Nothobranchius furzeri: one gene and its partners. The main gene of each other region encodes a partner of the protein of the gene in region 2 in a complex. Links are inferred from orthologs where the notes say so. Each region holds a gene or a part of one and is shown on either strand. Other genes may lie near its edges.

Region 1 (7,743 bases), on a different chromosome or scaffold from region 2:
CTTAAGACGTAAGGAGAATGAGAATCTGATCAATGGGGGTTTTAGTTCTAACAGAACTCGGGTATAAATCACACTTTATGTCATCGAGTGGAAAAAGCTCTTACCAGATACTGATGAATGCACGGCAGCAGCACCACATCAGTCAGAGTGAAGTAGAGTCCCTCAGCAAACACGTGCTCTAGTGGAGGCAAAGCTGTGGTCTTGACTTTTCTGATCTCAGAGCTCCCTCTAGTGGCCGCAGCTGGAGCTGAATCCACAGAAAGTTTGGCCAGGGCCGCCCTGAGCTCAAGACCATCAGAGGTCTGAGACGACGGCCCCAGAGAGGCTTCACAAATCTGCTTCTCCTCGTTTTCTCTCAGCCTCTGCTCCTGTAGTTTCTGTCTCCGTATTTTGTCATCGTTGTGGACTTTGACTGGTTCGGCCAGCCGCTGCTCCAGGGTGAGGATGGAAGGAGGCAGTCGGTTCACCTGGTTTGTGGGATTTAGGAGATGTTCCTCGACAGCAGAGGGGATACCAATTTCACACAGCCTGGTCCACTTGCTCACCTAAAAGCAGGAGAAGGTGAGATGTTTCAGATGAAGTGCAGTACCTTCGTTAGAAGTGCTTACAAATTCGCCCTAAATTCAATTGTTGCTTTTTTTATTTTCAGAATAAACTATTTCAGATCATAAACACTGTTAAATATATCAGGGTTGGAGGACCTAAGGAGTGGAGACACATGCAGCCCTTGGATGTAAGCTGGACAATGTCCTCGCGGCGTTGCCTGTGTTAGTGCGCAAGATGGATGTCATCTTGGAGAGGGTCGCCGGACGGTGTGAGAATGTTTAGAACGTATAATTGGCATCACTGGTGGACATGAATGACCACTTATAGACTCCAAGGCAGAGAGGAAAATTATCTCTGTCTGCCCTAAACAAAGTCTTGTTTATCCTTATCTGACGCCAAGGCTGCCATCAACACACCCCCACGAAAGGAGGAATGCTGACAGATGCTGTGTCCCGACCTCCCCCCCCCCCGCCTTCGGATTGTGACTTCTGCTTCGAGGTCAGCAACCTGCAGGAAACTCAATGTGCTCTCTGTCCCTCATTTCTCCCTCCAACCTGATTGTCTGCAGCTGGCTGAGCGCCGTAATGGCAGCTCCCGTTGGAGGATTCAGGATCCCGCCCAACCCCGCCTCCCCATCGGACTCTGATGTTTTGTATCTGTGATGTTCGTGCTTCTATGTTGAGGAGTTTTTTTTTTTTTTGTATAATAGAGTTACTCCCCGCTGGGTCTAACTCTGCTATGCCTTTTTTTTTTACCTTACCCCAATTATCCTCATGTACCACTTATCTCTATTAAGGTAGCGCGACTCAGGGTTGTGAATGACCACAGTCACCAGTTCTTGTCATGTGTCTTGCCCATGTATGTCTAATCTCTGAATTGTGTGTACTGAAACTCTAATTTCCCTCTGGGATCAATAAAGTATCTTTGATTTGATCTTGATCTTTAACTGCACAGAAACAATAGATCACATTATGGTCCATGCCCTTTACGAAGCTCAGGAAGGGTCTTTCGTTGTTTCTATATGCTTCTGCACTGGTGTGAATGATCTACAGCATTTTATGTCACTGCTGATTAATTAATGTAACTAGTCAGACACTGAAGACCATTTCCAGTGTAAGATGGTACTGATGATTGCTCAAAAGTATATTTTACTTTTCAGGATCTGATCATCATCCTCATGACTCATGATGCTGGCACTCTGCATCCTACCATGAATCAGATTTTAGACATATTTTTAAGTTGCCTCACGCAGTTCTGCAACTTTTATTGCCTGACTTTGTATTGATTTATTCAAACTACAGATATTGAGAATGTGAGCTCCCATCATCACCTTTGAGGGGACACAAAGCCTCTGAACTGCAATAACTGAGAGGTTCGCCTTTAGTTTTTAACTCAATAAGATGCTATTAATGCAATTTTACATTATGATGTAAAAATTGCACCTCCACGTCAGAAATAGACCAATATATTTGTTGGCCGACATATTTTTATAAATCAGCATCAGCTGATACACCCGTTTAGAGGGGCCGATTTAAAAACTGAAACAGCCACAGGCAGTCCAGTGCTGCTGCAGGATTTTATTTAAATGTGCGTGTGTGTTCCTGATCTACTTAATAAATGTTTAAAAACATTCTTCTTAACTGAAGTATTTTTTGTTTACCCGTTTTTATTTAAGACTTGGTCAGTTTATGATTTGTTCGATTACCTTTGGCTAAATGTTTGATTTTAATACGAGCGGTGCAAAAAAAATTAAGATACAAGAGTTGTTTAAATTCAGAGTTCAACAACGGATCCATGTTCAGAAACGTTGTGCATCATGTTTTTGTCAGTGACATCTAAGCATGCAAATAAGGTGGAAAATGTCGAGTTATCGGCCGCGAACATCGGTAGCAAATATCGGCCATCAGCTGACCATGACCCCCATATATCAGCATCAGTATCAGCATCTGAAAACCCCATATCAGTGGATCTCTACACCTGATTTCCCCAGACACCCAAAAGCTGACGCTTGTCTCCCACTGACCTCCGCACAGGCCTTCAAGCAGGTTTTTTTGAAACCCAGCAGCTCCAGAACATCCTTCCTGGAAGGGTCTTCCTCAGTGGTTTTGATGATAATGTGCCTGAGCACCACGGCTAGTCCTGCCCTGCACAGGCGCCCGCTCTCATCCACCGCTGCCGGGAGACGGCAGCTCCTCACCAGCTGGGGCAGATCCTCCAGCTGGACCCAGCTGACACCAACAGGCACTGGGAGCTGGCTCCTGAAAGCGTCCGAGCAGCTACTGGTGTAAACCATGAACACTTTGAAGGACTTGCACTCGCAGTATGATAGGAGAAACATAACTATGGACGTGTGCAGGGGGAGACGCAGCTCCTCGTTCTGGGAACAAACCTCTAAGAAGAGGGAGAGATGTTGCTCTTTTTTCTCGTTGTGCTTCATTGTAAATAAACTAGAAGGACAGTAAAACAATCAGTTAGTTTTATCATTGTTTTAGTGTTCTCTGTTGGTACTTTTACGTCTAGATTACTTAAATTCAACATATGACCCAAGAAAAATGACTTACCTGAAACAGGCGGACCGGTGTGTTTTGGTGATTCTTCTTCTGCTGTTTTTTCACTAGCATAGCTCCACAGCGCCGCCAGCGGTCTTCTCAAACGTTTCAAAACTCTCTTCATGAAAGAGTAACACCTATGTACAAAATATGTACCGCAAAGGAAAACATACGTGGGATGAATACTTATTTTATTATAACCAAAATAGTATAATAACCACGCGAACGCGAATACAAATTTCGCAAAACGTTCCGCCCTTGCAGACTCCGGACATATTTGTCGGTTACTCAAATGTGAAGACGAAACGCCGACGGAAGTGTTGCTCAGTTTTCCGTTGTTCAATAGAAAGAAAATATTCCGGTAAAACAGAAAATACACCCAGTCTCGGGTAAGCCTGTGTTTATGATAATTATGAGCTTCAATTTTAGAATTATAAAGCGACCTCGGTAACTACCGCGGTGCTTCTGTGGTTGTAGTCCGTCTTCCTGTTTTTACTCAGAAACCAAATATTTGCCAATGTTTAAAGTCATTCACAGCAGTTGGATCGGTGGGACTCGGCTTATAGGCGCCGGCAGTTCTTTTTACTTTGATGAAATGATACTAATTCACAGCATTACGTGAATTGTTATTGTTTGATTTCTAGTGGAAGCGATGGCTGGACCTGTCAGTTTGGAGCTGGATCCCATCTTCCTAAAAGGACTGAGTTATCTACATTCCAAGAGCAAAGATTCAGCTGAGAAGCTCAAAGCTCTACTTGATGAGTCCCTTGCTAGAGGCAGCGATTCCTCTTATCGCTCTTCACAAAAAGTAAGATAATTCATTCTCATATACACTCACCTAAAGGATTATTAGGAACACCTGTTCAACTTCTCCTTAATGCAATTATCTAATCAATCAATCACATGGCGGTTGCTTCAGTGCATTTTGGGGTGTGGTCCTGGTCAAGGCAATCTCCTGAACCCCAAATGCCACGGGCTACCTGAGCATTGTTTCTGACCATGTCCATCCCTTCATGACCACCTTGTACCCATCCTCTGGTGGCTAATTCCAGCAGGATAATGCACCGTGTCATAAAGCTCCAGTCATTTCAAACTGGTTTCTTGAACATGACAATGAGTTCACTGTACTACAACGGCCCCCACAGTCACCAGATCTCAACCCGATAGAGCATCTGTGGAACGGGAGCTCCGTGCCCTGGATGTGCATCCCACAAATCTTCCATCAACTGCAAGATGCTATCCTACCAATATGGGCCAAGATTTCTAAAGAATGCTTTCAGCACCTTGTTGAATCAATGCCACGTACAATTAAGACAGTTCTGAAGGCGAAAGGGGGTCAAACACCGTATTAGTGTGGTGTTCTTAATAATCCTTTAGGTGAGTGTAGAGAAATCCCCTTAAAGAGCAAGTCACCCCCTACCAGAGTCTTACTCCACTCCCACTTCCTGTTTGAAAAATGCAACAAATGCTGTTACCTGGCAGACCGAGGGGGTGGAGCCACTAACAAATACACACACAGGCTCACAATGACTTTGTGACATCATAATGTACTTCTTAGACAATAGCAATGGCAGAGTTTTTACCTGAAGACGACGTAACACTGACAGTTTTAGGCAGATTATTTAAATTTATCTAAGATGCACCAAAGTGCCAAGTTATTGACTACAAGTGTCTACAGCATGATTAGACACTCATTTATATAGTTTATCAGCAAGAAAGAAATTTGGGGGGGGGGGGGGGGGGGGGGGGGCTGACTTGCTCTTTAATGTCATTCGTATGACATTGTTTTAAAACCAAGTGCTTGTGCCTTCTGTGTGATTGTTTTGTCCTCAGGAGGTGGAAGTGTCAAAGGCATCCGTGTCAAAGCTGAGTTTAAGTAAAGAGCCCAAGTCTTCAAGTTCTTCTTCTGGCAGCAGCGGTGGAAGTAGTAAATCCAGCTCAGAGAAAGGCAAGAAAGAAGGCGAGAAGAGGTCATCAGAGAAGGTGTGGAAGACATTTTTCCAATTTTTACTAATGATCCCAGTAATCTGTGTCGTGTTGCTGTTCAATTGGGAAGTAAAAGTGCACAAATGAATGAAAAGTGCATATTATATAACTCTAAAGCTTTAAAGCAGAATCCGATTTAAATATGTGATCAGGTGTTTTTTGTTTGTGTGATTTAGTCAAACTTCCTTTTGTATTTTGCTGAAAAACAGGCCAGGGTTGACGTGAGCGAAGTGGACCCCCCCAAAAAGCCTCGTTTAGAGAAACAAGAGAACCGCTCCTCTCCAATCACATTTCAGACGAGCAAAGACCTCCTACCAAACATAAACGACTACGACGAGACAAACGCTGACGACTTTGCCATGGAAATGGGTCTGGCCTGCGTGGTTTGCAGGTACGAGTAGCCAATCGTGTAGATTTGTCAGCATGTTATTCCCTCAAATTAATCAGATCACCATTTTAAGCAGAAATTCAGTCTTTTTTTTTTAAATAATTAATTCTCTCAGACAAATGACGGTGACCATGGGAAACCAGTTGGTGGAGTGCCAAGAGTGTCATAATCTCTACCACCAGGACTGCCACAAACCTCAAGTGACTGATAAGGAAGTGAATGACCCACGGCTTGTGTGGTATTGTGCCCGTTGCACCAGGCAAATGAAACGGATGGTGAGGAAAATCAAGTCACGATCCTGCATCACCTTTTTAATGATGAACTAACTTGTTTGTTTGTTTGTTTGTTGACCAGGCTCAGAAGCCTCCTCAGAAACCATCCCCTGCATCTGCATCTTCAGCACCGGTTGTTAAAGACCCGCTGGTGAAAAAGACAGAGCTGAAGGCTAAAACCGATACAACCAGCACCTTCCAGGCCTTCAAGAGGACAGAGGTGAAGGTGTGTGTGAGTATTTTAATTAAAAATGACATCCTCAGTCTTGTTTCTACTAACCAGTAAGGGGTTTAGAGGTAAGAAAAGCAACAGGAACAGTTCCTTTTCTTTCCTTAATTGTTTAGAAGATTTGTTTCTGCGTTTGGATTCAGACAATATGGCAGTTTTAGTGTCAAATATATTCAATCTTATTAGTTTAAGACCTTTTAGGGATCATTTACCAATTAGAATACATTTGTTTTAAGTTAATAAAATAGAAATTAAAATACTAACCCAAAGTACCGTACCATGAAATCAGTTTTATCACCTTTTAAAAGCCTTTTAGTAACCAGCTATTTCCTGCTATAAAACCACCTTAAAAGAAAGCATTAGTAGAATTTAGTAACCCTAAATATTAGTTATGAATTCAAAAACATTACGTATAAAATTGCAGACTCATTCCTGCTCATTTGGTTTCTCTCTCCCTGATTGGGTGCAGCCACCTGCCACTTTAGCCAACCCCACCAACAGCGGCGCCTCGTCCTCGGGCAGCGGCCTCACAGGCTGGGCCGCGTTTGGAGCCAAAACCAACCCATCCCTTCCTGCTACCTCCAAACTGGCTTCCTCAGGCCCGAGTGGGAGCAGCAAGAGCATGGCAGCTCCCGCTCAGAAACCTGCCGGGCTGCCGGGGCTCACTGGAGCCAAGTCAGGACTCGGTAGTGCAAAAGCTGCTGGGAACAACAACGGAAATGGCTCCAGTCAGGTAACTCTGAAACCTCCTCCACCTTTGACCCTGGGTAAGCAGTCGCTCAACCGTTCATCGAGCGGCGACAACCAGGGGAAAGGCTCTGTGTCAACTGGCGCCGGTTCTCCGGGTAGCTCCCAGACCGGAGGGAACGGAGGAAGCAACGGAGGGGGCAATGGGAACAACGGGAATGGGTCAAAGGCTGCGCCGGCGGACAAAGCGCCGACTTCTCAAGAGTCCCAGCTGAACGCCATGAAACGTTTGCAGCTGGTCAAGAAGAAAGCTGCACAGAAGAAACTTAAGAAATGACCAAATAAGGAGGAGGAAGTGAGCAGACGTAAGAGGAATCGGTGCCAGAAGGCGTCTTCACATGGAGCAGCATCATCCAGTCCAATACTTGAACATTTGTTTTCTTTGTGTAAAGGCTGCTGGACTCTGTGCCTCTTTTCTCCGTACAAGCTTTACCAGTGGAAGAAGTGTCACTTTTATCAATCCTGTCATGAAATCTTCTCTTCTTACACAGAAACCAGCATGTGAGTCGATACATCCCAAAAGAACAGTCACATCACAAAAGTTGAGTTTATTGATGATGTAACCGATAGACATTTGTCAGGATAAATACAGAATAAACGTATGTTTTTATAGAAAACTTTTATATAAATCTTCTCATATTTGTAATCACACTTATAAAATCTCTATGAATCAGTTCACATATTAGATTATCTTCATGATTGCATCACTTCATTGATATAAACAACACTGAAGTACAAAAAGTGCTCAGGAAAGTGCACTGGCATTTGAGACGAGGGTTATTTCACCTACATTCATACCAAATCATTGGAAACATCCATGTAAAAACTAAACAGCTTCTCAATCGACATGAGACCATATAATAACATTAGGAGAAGGTCAGTTTTATGTTCACAAACCAAGTGTTGTAATGAAAGGCACGTTTTAATCCTGAAAGTAGGGCTGGACAATAATTCGATAATGAAATATATAGATCGATAGACGTACGGCGCGATGAGAAAAAAATTGGTCAATTAAAAGTTTCCTTT
Region 2 (7,677 bases):
GCTGAGAGAAAATAAGCACAAACCCAGAGAGCCCTATGGATTAACAGGAAACGTGCATTTGTTCAAAGAAGGCTGGACTTCATTTAGAAACGTTTGTTCTTCACTGAGAGTTTGAATCCCGCAGCAGCAGCTCTCACCTCTGCATGTGGAAACGGCGGCTCTGGCAGATACACCTTTGTTTGTTTATTATGACAAAGCCTGGAAATATCAAGCACAAGTAACCAGAGCGTCACAGAGAGGCTGTGGCTTTCTTCATCGGATTTCAAATCCTCCTGAAACGTGTGAAACAGTGAAGGCTGTTGGGCTACGGTTCAGAGGGGAAGAGGAGCAGCTGCTCACCACTCAGCAAAGATCTGGGAGAACTCCAGCGAGCTGTTGGCTACAGGAGAGATGAAGTAGAAGGGTGTGGTCCCCAGGTTGGCGCTCTCGATGAACTGGTACAGACACTCCAGCAGGTCATAGATGACCCCTGAGGAGTAACACGGTACCAGCACGTTGCCTCCTGCCCGGATCGTCATGGCTGCAGGTCCACACAAACACAAACACACTCATGCTTTGGATTTAAAAGCTGGAAGAACGGTTTACTTTGAGCATCTGAACACACCCAGGTTGCTGCAGAACTCTCCCAGCATGCCATCTGGGTTAGCAGTGGGCATCTGTGTGAGGCCAGTCAAAATGAGAACGTCGCTGTTCTTCAGCGAGCTCTGATCCATCGGCTAGAGGAGAAAACGCATTTCAGGTTTCATCAAGCCTCACGTGTACCATGATCTGATTCAAGCTGAGCTACCTGTGGGTGTGTGGTGAGGAGGGATGACCCAGACACGTAAGACACCTTCTCGTGATGGGACTGGATGATCCAGTTGGAGCTTCCCAACGAGTAGCCAGAGCTCAACGGGGAGACCTGAACAGCTCCAAACAACTCCTGAGGAGGAAAAACTGGTTTCTAGTCCACACACGGCTTTAGGGGAGCAGGAATTTGATCTGAACTTTGTAACAGAAATGATGACCGAGCTGCCTGCAACACTAGTTTGTACTCTAAAACAACCATTCTCTACCAATTTAAATCATGTACAGACAAAACACAAGCATGACTAGAAAGCTCAAAATGTTCTTCCTTTGTATTTTGTGCTGTTCAAAACAGATGCTGCCCCCTAGTGGTGCTGTGTGGGTCCCACAATGATGAGGACGGTTGGTTCTATCTGAGCAAAAACATGAGCAGTGTGGCTACAGCCTCACATACAAATCTGTATCAATGTCCAGAGAAATGGTGCCAGTACACACACACACACACACACACACACACACACACACACACACACACACACACACACACACACACACACACACACACACACACACACACACACACACACACACACACACACACCCCTACTCACCACTTTCTGAGAATAACCGACAAGCTGCACTTTGCTGAGAGCTGAGTTGACCTCATGCATGCTGTAGCATCGTTTCCACGTCCACACGTCAACAGCTTCCTTCAGCGGCCCAGGAAGAACCCTGATGATGCAGGAGCAGCGTTAGAACCCTGATGATGCAGGAGCAGCGTTAGAACCCTGATGATGCAGGAGCAGCGTTAGAACCCTGATGATGCAGGAGCAGCGTTAGAACCCTGATGATGCAGGAGCAGCGTTAGAACCCTGATGATGCAGGAGCAGCGTTAGAACCCTGATGATGCAGGAGCAGCGTTAGAACCCTGATGATGCAGGAGCAGCGTTAGAACCCTGATGATGCAGGAGCAGCGTTAGAACCCTGATGATGCAGGAGCAGCGTTAGAACCCTGATGATGCAGGAGCAGCGTTAGAACCCTGATGATGCAGGAGCAGCGTTAGAACCCTGATGATGCAGGAGCAGCGTTAGAACCCTGATGATGCAGGAGCAGCGTTAGAACCCTGATGATGCAGGAGCAGCGTTAGAACCCTGATGATGCAGGAGCAGCGTTAGAACCCTGATGATGCAGGAGCAGCGTTAGAACCCTGATGATGCAGGAGCATCAGTAGAACCCTGATGATGCAGGAGCAGCGTTAGAACCCTGATGATGCAGGAGCATCAGTAGAACCCTGATGATGCAGGAGCAGCGTTAGAACCCTGATGATGCAGGAGCAGCGTTAGAACCCTGATGATGCAGGAGCAGCGTTAGAACCCTGATGATGCAGGAGCAGCGTTAGAACCCTGATGATGCAGGAGCAGCGTTAGAACCCTGATGATGCAGGAGCAGCGTTAGAACCCTGATGATGCAGGAGCAGCGTTAGAACCCTGATGATGCAGGAGCAGCGTTAGAACCCTGATGATGCAGGAGCAGCGTTAGAACCCTGATGATGCAGGAGCAGCGTTAGAACCCTGATGATGCAGGAGCAGCGTTAGAACCCTGATGATGCAGGAGCAGCGTTAGAACCCTGATGATGCAGGAGCAGCGTTAGAACCCTGATGATGCAGGAGCAGCGTTAGAACCCTGATGATGCAGGAGCATCAGTAGAACCCTGATGATGCAGGAGCACCTTTCTATCACAATAACTTGCGTTTGTGTTGTGATTGGTTTATTTTCTACTGCAGTTGAAGTGAACAGATAAAAATATAAAGATGGTATAAATAAACACACGTGACCCTGCCTCTCAGGGGTAACAGCAGGAAGGGATGAGCGTGTCAGTGATCTGATCCTGACTCAAAGTCAACCTCAAGTCTTTCTGGAAGAGATACAATATTCTGTCCAGGATGTCACAGCACTCGTTCTCTGAGGAACCTTTAAAGTTTTCTCTGTGAGTCGGTCTGAAGAGTTAATCAGCCGACAACCTAATATCACCTAAACAAGCTTCTGTCTGTCTCTAGAAACCAGTCTGATTAGACTTTTAACCAAACTGGAACTTAACTGGACTGGAATTAATGAAAAACAAATTATCTTAAATCAGATGGAAGCTTTAGTCTTTTGGACTAATGTGAATTTCTGCCTTTGAACCACTTCAGACCCTTTGGTACAAAACTACTAAATCTGTTCATTAAATTATAGTTTTATTTGTTTTCTGAGGTTTTTGTACTCTTTACTGTAAGAGTCAGAGGTCTAGGTCTTTTTCATCTCTGAGTACTGTTCCAATAATTCCACAAACATCCTTGTGTCAAAGCTGTGACTCCAGCCCAGCAATGTTTTTATTAATTAGTTAGTAGAAAATCGATTTTGCTTTAAAAGTACCAAGATGACCCAAAATACAAGGAGCTCAAATAATCCCACTCCTAACTCTTAGGTACAAATTATATTCAGAAGTCAAATAGATTCATGAATAAATTAACTAATCATGTTCTGTCAGATGGTATCCAGAGGCTGATGTCATGTATTTATTAGTTTGCTTGTTGGCAGGTGGATTTTTACACACGTATTTTCGTATGTTAGTAATTTTTGACTCTATGATCGAAGACATTAAGCAAGACAATGGTTACAAACTCGGGCTGTGAAAACATTTTAGTCCTATTTTCCTGTTATTATCTGCCTTTAATAAATCAAATAAAATGAATCCCAGCTGCTCCCACCTCTGCAGGTCCTTGTTCTTCCAGCAGGTAGCAGACTGGGCTTTAGGAACTCTCTCCATGAAGTTTACCAGCTCCTCCATCAGCAGCCTGAGGAAGCAAGAGCCATCAGGAAATAGGAGATTGAATGTTGCTTCTGTTAGAGCCCAAACCCAACACATTAAAAAGAATCTAATATAATTTATATGTCTGATATATTGGTGTCTTAAGTCACAACAAAGCCGCCCCCCCCCCCGCCCCCCCTAAACACCTGGTCTGAATGCATCTCAGCTCCTCAGATTTACAGAATAGAGCAACCTTTGACGAAGCACCTCCCAAAACACGCCTCGCAGTTATTCTGCATCTTATAAAAAAACAATAACAATCTGTAATTAAATGTTAAGCCTGGAAAACCAAGTTTTACACAGATAGCTAATCAAATATTTTTCAATCCAAGCAACAAAACCTCTTGAGGGGTTTTGATAAGAATTTGGGTTTGTAGCTGAGATTTTTTACAAAAGCATAAAAAATGTTTACCTGCCAATCTGCAGGGTGGGCTCGGTGGCATACACCGTTCCTGTGAAGCCCGTGTGTTCAGTGATGTAGGGCAGCGCCATCATACAGTGGTAGTTGGAGATGAGAATCACATCAATGGTTGACAGGTCCAGCAGTTCTCTCTGTGATTAGTATTAGTAGGGCAGACCTCAGGTGTAGTTCTGTTCATCACAATCTGTTCCTACTGTCACTGATTACATTTACAAACAGCAGAGAAGTAAGATAACTGTAACTCTCCCACTTTGTTTATCTAGATTAGGAAAATATGCCTGTTTTATCACAACAGTAATCTGGTTCAACTACCTCTGGGAGGCAGAACTCTGGCTGGGAGTCCACGAACACCCTTCCAGCACACTCCTTCAGCTCCTGTAGAGACAAACATCGTATTTGCATTTCATTTGCATGGCTACATCTTATGCTGGAGGGAAAATATTCTCAACTAAATGTACCTTTTCCAGATTTACCGTTCCATCTTTTGAGGTCCAGCCTGTGAGCTTGGAGAGCCTTGGGCTGATGTTTTAGAAGATAAAATCATCATGAGTCTTTACCTAACGCCATTCACACATATGGACGATGGTATCTCACCTGTGTACCAGAGGAAGGGGAAGAAAATTGAGGACTGAGGTCGTGTCCAGTCCACAGTCCAGCATGATGGTGGTGGACTTAAACTTGAGGACATTGCAAGGCAATGTGGGGTGACCAGACAAACAATACTGCAAAAGAATAAACACCGAGAGCACCTTTATGAAACAAACACAGATCATCAAAATAATATTTTAATTTGTACTTTCATTTGATCCTAACTGCAAACAAAACTTATTTCATTAAGTAGTCGTGCTGCTAGCAGCTCCACTATAACCACAGGCTGGTTTTAGCTAGCTAGCAAACACGGTTATCTGGATGCTTTCTGTTTTTAGAACTTCTAACAAACTTGGTTCGCACACGCATAATATGCCTCATAAAATCCGAGCTCTCTACTCACCAACTTCATTTTAACTTAATGACGAAGTAATAAATGTGTCCAAAACAGCCGGCTTTGCTAACACGCCATCATTTTGGTTTGTTGATGCTCGGCTGTTTTCCTGAGAGATTTCTCTCTGCTGCCCTCTCCCGACTCGGAGGACAACCTTCCTCTCGTCGAAATGGCTATGCTAATGGATTAAATTAGCCAGTTCACGTAAATGTGTTCACAAATATAGTATACGTGTTTATAACGGTTGTGTAGGACATAAAGTGACTCGCATATTGATAAAAATAGTAAAGAACAATATGAGCTGACTGCTAGAGGTTAACAAATAGGAGAAGGCGGAAGGGTCACGTGGTCTTGTTTCGCTGTCAGCCACAAACAGGTTTAAACGCTGTGAGTCACACGGGTGCAGGTTTATTATTGGGTTTCTGAGGAATGTCATTCTGATGACACATCTCTGATGTAGCAACACGACCGCCCATCGCACGTCTGTACTTCCGGTAGACCTGGTTTTAAGTTGTTGTTATTCCAACATGTTTCCGTAGCTAACAGCATCGACACGCCGGGTCGACAGTCTGAGTGGACAAGGAGGACAGGTGGGTAACATCAGTCACTGGTTTTACTAGTTAATTAAAACATCTGCTAATGTTGAGTAAACAAGAAAAGTTAAGGGGCAGTTTGACATTCGTCTTTAAAAAGTTTAAGAAAATCTCTGTTGATCTGAAACAGTTTAGACCGTGAGTGTGTTGTGACCTTTGGTCATAATGCTGATAATACATAACAGGACGTCATTTTCCAGTAAGGTCATGTCATGCTGCGTTTTCTAATGAGGTGTGTGTGTGTGTGTGTGTGTGTGTGTGTGTGTGTGTGTGTGTGTGTGTGTGTGTGTGTGTGTGTGTGTGTGTGTGTGTGAGCACAAACATACACACCAGGCTCGCTGGCCATGGGGAACTCTTGCACTCATCTAGGGATCCCTCCTGCTAAGGGTCCCAACGCTGTGGGATGCACAGACTTCATGATGGATCACACTGCAAAGGTGAGATGAGAAAACACGCCCACACCTGACTAATCTGTGTAGGTGTCAGATTTGCTTAGGCAAACTGGTCTCTATTCGTTTTTCTACTGAATTGCATTTTACTTTGTTATTTTACTTTCACCTGGCTGTCTGGAAAAGAATCATGATCGAGATATTTAGGCTGAGATGTTCAGAGGTGTGTGTGCGTGTGTGTGTGTGTTGCCAACAGGGCAGCTTCTTCAGACTTTACTATCCGTGCCAGGAGACAGAAAAGGCAGAGAAACCTGACTGGGTCCCGTGTAGAGAGTATTTTAACGGCCTGGCAGACTTCATGAAGATCAACAGGAGTCTCAGTAAAGGGATTTTCGACCACCTCTTTGGTGAGTAAACCGCCTCTGAAATACGCAACAGAATCCAACACGTTTTTATTTCATTTGCATTTCATCTAGTTCTCACCTGACTATTCTTCATTGACACTAAACCAATAGAATGACCTTTACAGAGATATTTAAAGCAAATTCAAATAGATCCGCTTCTCTGCTGCTGTTTAAACGTGAGCAGCGCTTACTGAGGTCAGCATTCATCTCCTTACAAATTTCTTTTTTTTTTTTTTGTAAAACTCAAATATTTATCACCAGCTGAGTGAGGAGGAAGGTGGATTCTCTGAAAAGGGCTATATAAATCTAATCCATCATTATAAATGGTGGTAATACACCAAGCCCTGTTCTAGAGAGATGCAGGAACTAATGAACCCAGAATGTCTAAAGCAGAGGTACGGGTGAGAGTAAATGCTTCTGAGACCAAAACTTCTGCTGAGCAAATCAAACCTCAAAGACCATCTCACATTTACCAACAACATCTTGATAATCCCAAAGACCTCTGAGAGAAAATGTTCGATGAGAAAAGTGTTCTGGAAGGCGTGTGCACCATACACGGTGGTGGTAGTGGGATGGTCTGGGGCTGCTCCAGGACCACCTGCTGCGACTGACGGAACCCTGAATTCTGTTGTAGCAGAGCGTTCTGAAGGAGAACATTTGACCTTTTGACCTTAAACAAGACGTTCCTGCTGGAAAACCCCCTGTGGCTGAATTCAGACAATCCAGTAAAGAAGAGAGGGACCACATTCCTCCACTGGATGCGAGACCAGTTTGACAGGTTAGAGGTCAGTTACTCTGAAATATGACAAGAAAAAGAAATCTGTAAGGAGGTAAATACGTTTTCACAGCACAGCAAACATGTCTGACCACAACAGCTCTCAGGACAGACCAAGCTGATGTTCTCCTCGTGCCTCTGCCACACACATTAGGATAGTAAGCTGTACTTTACACTCTTCAGCTCCTGACTCTGCAGCAATAATGTAACACTTGAGACGGGAAGAAAGCAGAAGTGGTTTGTTTCATTTGTGCAAGGTCATTTTCACACATCATTCTTGTTGTTCAGAAGGGTAACGTGAAGGTTTCTGGTTTATTTCAGGTTCTTTTAAGATCCCAGCCTACATGGACGCTCCATTCAAGTCGAATGAAAAGTGCCCTGTGGTCATTTTCTCCCATGGCCTTGGTGCCTTCAGGTACACGCTAGTTTCCCCCCTGCTGTCACATCGACTCATTACTGACACTAAAACCAGCTT
Region 3 (6,647 bases), on a different chromosome or scaffold from region 2:
GATCCAGAACTCAGAGCTGCAGCAAAGAGGGGCATACCTTTTCTGAGCTGGTCTGTTATCGAGGAGAGATCCGCACACGCACTAATCCACTTCATCAGAGTTCGGTACGACTTCTGGAGGACCTGAAAAACACCCGTCCACACGCACACAGTTATAAATACTCTAGTCACAGCAGACATTTTTATGTCCACCAACCTTTCTTTCAACATTTCTTTATTTCTTCTTGAAATTATATCTCATTTGACCTTGTATCAGTTTCTGAGGCAACCATTTTTGTGCAAAAACTGCAAAAAACACCAGCCTCTCCCAAGTGTGTGTGTGTGTGTGTGTGTGTGTGTGTGTGTGTGTGTGTGTGTGTGTGCGTGTGTTGTGTTGTGTGTGTGTGTTTTGGGTTTAAGTGTGGGGAATCTGGCTGCTCTACAAAGGCAATGAAGCCCTTTAACATGAACAAAGTACACAAACAGTTCAAAAGGCATCAGATTTACAATTAAAACAATAAAACAAGACACACTATTTAATGAAATGTCAGAATCATTTGTAAAATATGGTGTTTAAATAAAAAATTATACCCATTTCGTGTTTTCTTTTGTATTCATTGGATAAATTCTGTATTTTTGTCATCTTTTTGTTGTTTTGCATTTAAATACTCCCCTATGTTGTACTGGAAGGTAAAAACAAAGCATACAGTAGAAAAACACAGAGTTACATACTGAGAAATTAGTTAAATTGATGCAAAGGAAGTACAGAAAATCCTCTACATCCAGCAACAGTACTGCTCAACGTTTGGAGCCAGCGTGAATCTAAAAGCAGATTTAAAGTGGTGAAGTTGATCATCTACTCTAAAAAATGGAAGACATGGATTTTGGTGATCAAACACACACAAGAACTTACAGTGGGCTCAGAAGCAGGACTGTTCAGATACTGCATGAGAAGTGTGAACACCTCCGCCAGCAGGACTTTCCCTCCTGAGACAAAAACAAGATAAAATCAGAGCCACTTTTGTACAAAAATCTACATTTATGCCCCCCCAAAGCAATAAGTCTAGTTGTTTTAACAGGATTACCACGCCCTGGATGACTTTAAATGAGCCGGATTAAATTATTTTGCTCCCAAACTCAGGAGGGTCTATTTCATACACATTGTTTTAAAGACAGTTTACTCAATAAGATGGAAAAATGCACAACATTTGTTTGAATTTAGGTTAATTATTTATTATACTAGAATCAATCAAAAATGCATAGGATTATTTTAGGATAAGAAATATATCCAGTGAATATTTTACATCGCTCAGAGGTTAGTTTAAATCATAAGCAGACACTAACTAGTTGATCTTGGTTGATTGGTCACATGGACAAACATGGACTACCATGCTGCAGGGGGGCAGTCTAATGGAAGCAGGGAAGAGTGGGTCCAAGCAGCTAGTCAGCGCTTTGATTGGCCGCTGCTATTCATCCCCGTCTTCGGTCTTCATCAAAGTAATTTAAAGGGATACTCTACCCAAAAGTTACATTTTGTCTGTTGACATATTTTCCAGCGTTAGAAAAGTGGGAAAAAAACATTTTCAACCAGCCCAGTTATTGTCCTGACCCAGCTGTACTTCTTTAGCTTAGCATAAAACACTGTAAGCGAATGGGACCAACTATCATTGTGAGGAAAAAAAGTCTGTTCAAATCACTCAGTAGTGATACAAATTGTATTGAGCGGCCTAAATAATCATCAATCAATCAGATTTATTTATATAGCACCTACCACCACCTTATCAGAGGCCCAAGGTGCTGAACTGCACATAAAAACAACATAGTAGATAAAAGAGAGAAAAAATTATTAAAAAAATAGAAAAGTACAAGTAAAAGTAATTAAAAACCATACAGTACAAAAGGTGAAAATACGAAAGCCAGGGTCAACGATGCTGGGGAAAGCTAGTAGATAAAAGAGAGATTTCAGGAGAGACTAACTCCTGTAGAGAAGGAGCTTGCTTCACTGCCAGAGGGAGCTCATTCCAGACTGTAGGGGTCATTACTGAGAAGACCCGGTGTCGGTGCAGGATCTGCTCGGGTGCAGGATCGGCTCGGGGTCCTTCGACTGCCGATGACGTCACATTACTGCAACTCTACTCGGCTTTCACACACACGTTTTGGAAAGACATCAGCAGTTTTGTTAATAAATTCTTGTTTGTTAACATCTAAATGTTTTCTTTATAATTGTAATTTGTTGATAAAACACCATATTATCTTTGTTTTGTAAAGAATGTGAAACTGCATAAAACCAACATCGGACTGACAAACAAACAGTTCTTATATGTGAAGCCACGTCTGTTTGTATTAACGTGGAGTTCATCTGTATAATTCCTTAGTTGTTATCTAAATACATTCTTTGACTCAAAATGTTGCTTGGTGTCTTTCAATAAAGTTCTTATGTTTTATTTTGCCCCCTTTCATCAACATCAAGAGCTTTTGAGGGTCACCGTTTATCATTTGCTTATATTTTACATTTACTTTAGAAATTCAAACATATTTTCTCCAAAAAGTGTTGATTTTTGGACTACAGGACTACAACCGCTAAGACTACGGCCACAAATTTGTTCTGACCAATCAAAATCATGATGTGATAACGTAACTTCCGTAAGCTTCATGTTCAGCCAATCAACTACTTTGACGTCATTGGCAGTCGAAGGACCCCGAGCCGATCCTGCACCGACACCGGTCCCCTTGATCTGAGTTTAGAGCGGGGGACTTCCAGCCACTCCTGCTCAGCAGAGCGAAGAGCCCGAGTGGGGACACGCCGCTGCAACAGTTCAGCAAGATATGGGGGAGCACTGCCCTGCAGCACCCTGATCACATAGAGGAGAATCTTAAATCTTGCCCCGGTAGCCAGTGCTTAGAAGCTACCACTGGCATGATGTAGTCTCTCCTTCTGGTCCCAGTCACAAATCTCGCAGCGGAGTTTTGGACTAGCGGGAGTCGTGCAGTAGTAGCTTGACTCAGTCCAGCATACAATGCATTACAGTAGTCGATGTGGGCATGATAAAAGCATGTTCTGCTGTTTCCAGATGTACTCTGGACAGGAGAGGCTTTGTCTTGGACAGCCGTCTCAGATTAAAAAAACATGCTCGAACAACCATGTTTATTTGTGCATCAAATCAAAGGGGTGCATCAATTTTCACCCCTAAATTAGTGACCACATTCTTCTGACATTGTGTCATGGAATCAAGATCAATCTCATCACCTGCTCCAGCTCTCTCACCAGGGCCGGGTATTATTACACCAGTTTTAGAATCATTTAGGAAGAGGAAGTTAGTCGCCATCCATGACTTAACTTAACTGCATGTTGAAATAAAATGAACACAAAGGAATTCCAGGCGTTATTTCAGACTTGGGACTACTTAATGATAGAGTTCATTTATAAGCTTTCGCCAATAGGCGCAAGGACATGGGTTGGCGTGACACTGCTAAATGCTGGTACATTTTCTCGAATTACAAACATAATGTGTTATGGAAGTAGGTGTCTTTAGAGCCACTGCGTGATGTTCTTATAAATTTTCACTTTTGAGTGGAATATCCCTTTAAAGAGGGACAATATGGGTTTACGTCCTTGTCTTGATAATGCAGCCAACTTTGCAGCAAACTGTTGATGATGAAAGGCTACAAACTAGCTTGTTTAGGCTAGCTTCACAGGAGTTTCAACATGCCTACAAAGTTTCTCTGCTGTTCGTGAGAGACGTGATGTCACGTGCAAAGGGTCAATAGCAGCCAAAGTGGGGGGGGGGGGGGCGTGGCCAGCTCCAGCTTGTTTTCTTAAAGTGACAGAGCCCTGAAACTGCTCATTCTGGAAGGTACTGAAACTGTCAAGAACTGCTGAAACTGCTTTATGTGAGTGATTTTATACTTCTTCAACATGATTTGTATTGACCAAAGTATTAATACAACTTAAGAAAAAAGTCAAAATATGTCCCCTTTAAAATTTGTAACCAGCTTGAAGCAGAAACAGTTTAAAGTTACAGAAGATTTGTTTGGACCTGAACATTTGGACATTGTCCCGTTGTCGTACCTGAGCTGTTGCTGAGGACCGACAGAACATCAAGAGCACATTTCTGAACTTTTCCGCTGCCTATAAGGTTCCTGCCAGCTTCAGCACAGCCACTGGACGAGGAGCCGTCTCCATTGCAGAGCCTCAATAATGACAAAACTGCAGATACAATTAAAACTGGTGGACAGGGGAGGCAGTCGGGATCCTGAGGAGGAGAGACAGAAAAACCTAAGAGACTTTTCTAAGAATTAGATGGCCTCACTATCTGGTCCTTCAACTCACCATGAGTGTGATCTGTGGAGTGTTTGCTAGACTGGCACAAATCATGGAGATGCAGGAAGATTTACTCTTGAGATACTCCATCATTGGAAGGCGAAGCTTGTCTGCTGCAGTAACAATTGGGAAGAATTCATGAAGTATATTTCGGTCTTAAAATGCACACACCTGTAAGGGTTACCTGTGCTGTTTTGTCCCAACAGACTGAGTCCAGTAATGATGTCAAGAGGAAGCAGCAGAACTCTAGCAGCTTGAGCTTTATGGACACAGTCACTGGGGGAGAACGATACATGTCACTATCACCTTTAAACACTAATGGTTTCTACTGGTGAACCAACAGCTCAGTGCAGAAGGTCAAGCTGTGCTGTGTGAAGCTTACTCATGCCCGCTGCGGAGAAAAGCAGCTGCAGTGTAAGAGAGGTCCGCAGGTTTCCCCGTGTTCAACATGATGGACAAAAGGCGATCAACACGCTGGTTCAAGGCATGATGCTCACTTTTACTGCTGCTGAGACAAGCAGAAGGAGGTGAAAACGCTGAAGCATTGTGCATGAAGTCACACATTAAGCATGCAGAGAGAGGCACACCTGTGTGCAGCCTGAACAACATCCATCAGAGACCGAGTGAGCTGGCTGCAGTTGGTCGTCACCAGTTCCTCCAGAGAGTCTGAGACCGTCAGCAGCAGTCGGTCCCTCAGATCTGGCCCGGCCCGGCTCAGGAGCAGGGCGAGCACTTTGAGAGCCTGATGACTCTGAAACAGTGCTGAAGTTCCGTCGAGAACTAGTGACTTCTTGAGATACTCGCAAAGCTTCACGGTAACAGTGCTGTAATTCTGTTTGGTTTCCACGGGAACAGTCAGGTGTTTTGAGTTGTTTTGGGAGTTTTCAGACTGACAGAAGAGCAAGATGTGAGCGAGCATGTGATTAGCAGCCGAAGCAACAAATAGGCTTGTGTCTGTGTGAAGGTGTAGGAGTGGTTCAATCAAATCTGAAGAAGGAAAACATGGAGATGTAAATTACTTAATAAAAAGAGAAAAATCTCTATCTGAAATTTAAACATCTGCTCAGAGAGTGATCAGTACCTGCTTGCACAAAGAAGCCAAGAGCTTTTGAATGCTGCAGCATCGTCCTTAAGCCTTGGATCCAACCTATCCGTATACAAGGATCCTTCCAGAGCCCAGCCTCCTGCCAGCGTTGAGGGTCAAACACCAGGTCACACAAAGAGTGCTCCTAAAACAGAGAGGCTCCATCACAGGCAGCTTAACACCGTTTAGTAACTTTTAGTTTGAGAATAACTTTTTGCTTTCCTTGACATTGAATGTGCTACTACTAGTTTATCCGTTTAATTATAGATCCACTAGGACAAATACAATAAAGTTTATCTTTCACCAAATAGAATATTTACTAAGACATCACAATATAACTATAGACACACTACTTGGTGTGTGTGTGTGTGTGTGTGTGTGTGTGTGTGTGTGTGTGTGTGTGTGTGTGTGTGTGTGTGTGTGTGTGTGTGTGTGTGTGTGTGTGTGTGTGTGTGTGTGTGTGTGTGTGTGTGTGTGTGTGTGTGTGTGTGCCTGCTCTGTCTTCTCGATCCCCAGTGAGTCGTGGAGGATGGCTGCTTATACTGAGCCAGGATTCTCTGGAGGTTTCTTCCTGTTAAAAGGGAGTTTTCCTCTCCACTGTCGCTTTATGCTTGCTTAGTATGAGGATTGCTGTAAAGTCACTAACACTAGTCAGTGACTTGATGCAATTTGCTGGGTTCCTTATGTATGAAAAATTATTTCTGATTGGCTTAATGAACTGACCTGACCAGGTTTATTATGTGAAGTGCCTTGAGACGACTCTTGTCGTCATTTGGCGCTATATAAATAAACTTGAATTGAATTGAATAGTGATTACAGGAGTTACGAGACTTACCTGAAGAACTTTAAAGCCATTCTCAGTAGCTGAGATTAGGCCGGTGAGTTTCAGCGTGAAGGAGAGGATGCTGGCATCTGAGGCAGGGCTGTTGTTAACTACGGTCGGTATGAAATCAAGCAGACAGGGGAAGGCCTCCAGCAGAGAGACTCCTTCATCAGGTGACATTACAAAACAAAAAGGTGTCACTTAGACACTTAGCTGTGGAAAACTAGATCTGAAAACAACACATTCAGTTAGGTTTCAAGAGAATCTGTTTGGTAATACCTATTCTCCAGTTCCGTATCTACAGACTTTCACCAAATGCAATTTCAACTGACTTAGACATGTGTCCTTTGTACAAGGGAGAATGTTACTTTAGGTATTTTTAATGTCATTTATGACATTAATTATTGACATATAACATTAATTAGGACTATCTGAATATAA

What was found.
Region 1: ints9 (region 2) and ints12 share a complex: the UniProt entries of both Homo sapiens proteins name them as parts of the integrator complex. The link is inferred for Nothobranchius furzeri from reciprocal best matches to the Homo sapiens genes INTS9 and INTS12.
Region 3: the proteins of ints9 (region 2) and brat1 are in contact, whole or in part, in a cryo-EM structure (PDB 8UIB), measured with the Homo sapiens proteins. The link is inferred for Nothobranchius furzeri from reciprocal best matches to the Homo sapiens genes INTS9 and BRAT1. Residues at the interface, in NP_060720.2 of Homo sapiens: Gly276, Met277, Gly279, Glu280, Cys282, Ser283, Asn284, Ala286, Leu287, Arg290, Asn291, Tyr315, Asp317, Ser318, Ala319, Gly320, Ser483, His484; in NP_689956.2 of Homo sapiens: Ala406, Pro407, Cys416, Pro460, Gln506, Lys507, Arg508, Cys510, His511, Pro512, Arg517, Glu545, Leu549, Gln552, Asp556, Pro557.

What each region holds. Positions count from the first base shown.
Region 1 is NC_091746.1:80,672,868-80,680,610, forward strand, and holds ints12 (integrator complex subunit 12), read left to right. Parts: upstream 1-3,357; 5' UTR 3,358-3,484; intron 3,485-3,739; 5' UTR 3,740-3,747; coding exon 3,748-3,903; intron 3,904-4,928; coding exon 4,929-5,078; intron 5,079-5,290; coding exon 5,291-5,472; intron 5,473-5,584; coding exon 5,585-5,744; intron 5,745-5,823; coding exon 5,824-5,973; intron 5,974-6,439; coding exon 6,440-6,994; 3' UTR 6,995-7,346; downstream 7,347-7,743. Other genes in the region: gstcd (glutathione S-transferase C-terminal domain-containing protein), read right to left, coding at 105-545, 2,570-2,983. UniProt on the Homo sapiens protein: Component of the integrator complex, a multiprotein complex that terminates RNA polymerase II (Pol II) transcription in the promoter-proximal region of genes.
Region 2 is NC_091742.1:17,899,026-17,906,702, reverse strand, and holds the start of ints9 (integrator complex subunit 9), read right to left. Parts: upstream 5,189-7,677; 5' UTR 5,060-5,188; coding exon 5,051-5,059; intron 4,782-5,050; coding exon 4,654-4,781; intron 4,579-4,653; coding exon 4,518-4,578; intron 4,435-4,517; coding exon 4,372-4,434; intron 4,191-4,371; coding exon 4,051-4,190; intron 3,625-4,050; coding exon 3,538-3,624; intron 1,519-3,537; coding exon 1,398-1,518; intron 923-1,397; coding exon 788-922; intron 717-787; coding exon 605-716; intron 521-604; coding exon 340-520; intron 199-339; coding exon 138-198; intron 1-137. Other genes in the region: pla2g7 (platelet-activating factor acetylhydrolase), read left to right, coding at 5,979-6,071, 6,280-6,430, 7,524-7,617. UniProt on the Homo sapiens protein: Component of the integrator complex, a multiprotein complex that terminates RNA polymerase II (Pol II) transcription in the promoter-proximal region of genes.
Region 3 is NC_091744.1:16,243,173-16,249,819, reverse strand, and holds part of brat1 (BRCA1-associated ATM activator 1), read right to left. Parts: intron 6,371-6,647; coding exon 6,219-6,370; intron 5,529-6,218; coding exon 5,381-5,528; intron 5,287-5,380; coding exon 4,887-5,286; intron 4,808-4,886; coding exon 4,682-4,807; intron 4,576-4,681; coding exon 4,484-4,575; intron 4,413-4,483; coding exon 4,309-4,412; intron 4,232-4,308; coding exon 4,048-4,231; intron 966-4,047; coding exon 892-965; intron 123-891; coding exon 38-122; intron 1-37. UniProt on the Homo sapiens protein: Component of a multiprotein complex required for the assembly of the RNA endonuclease module of the integrator complex.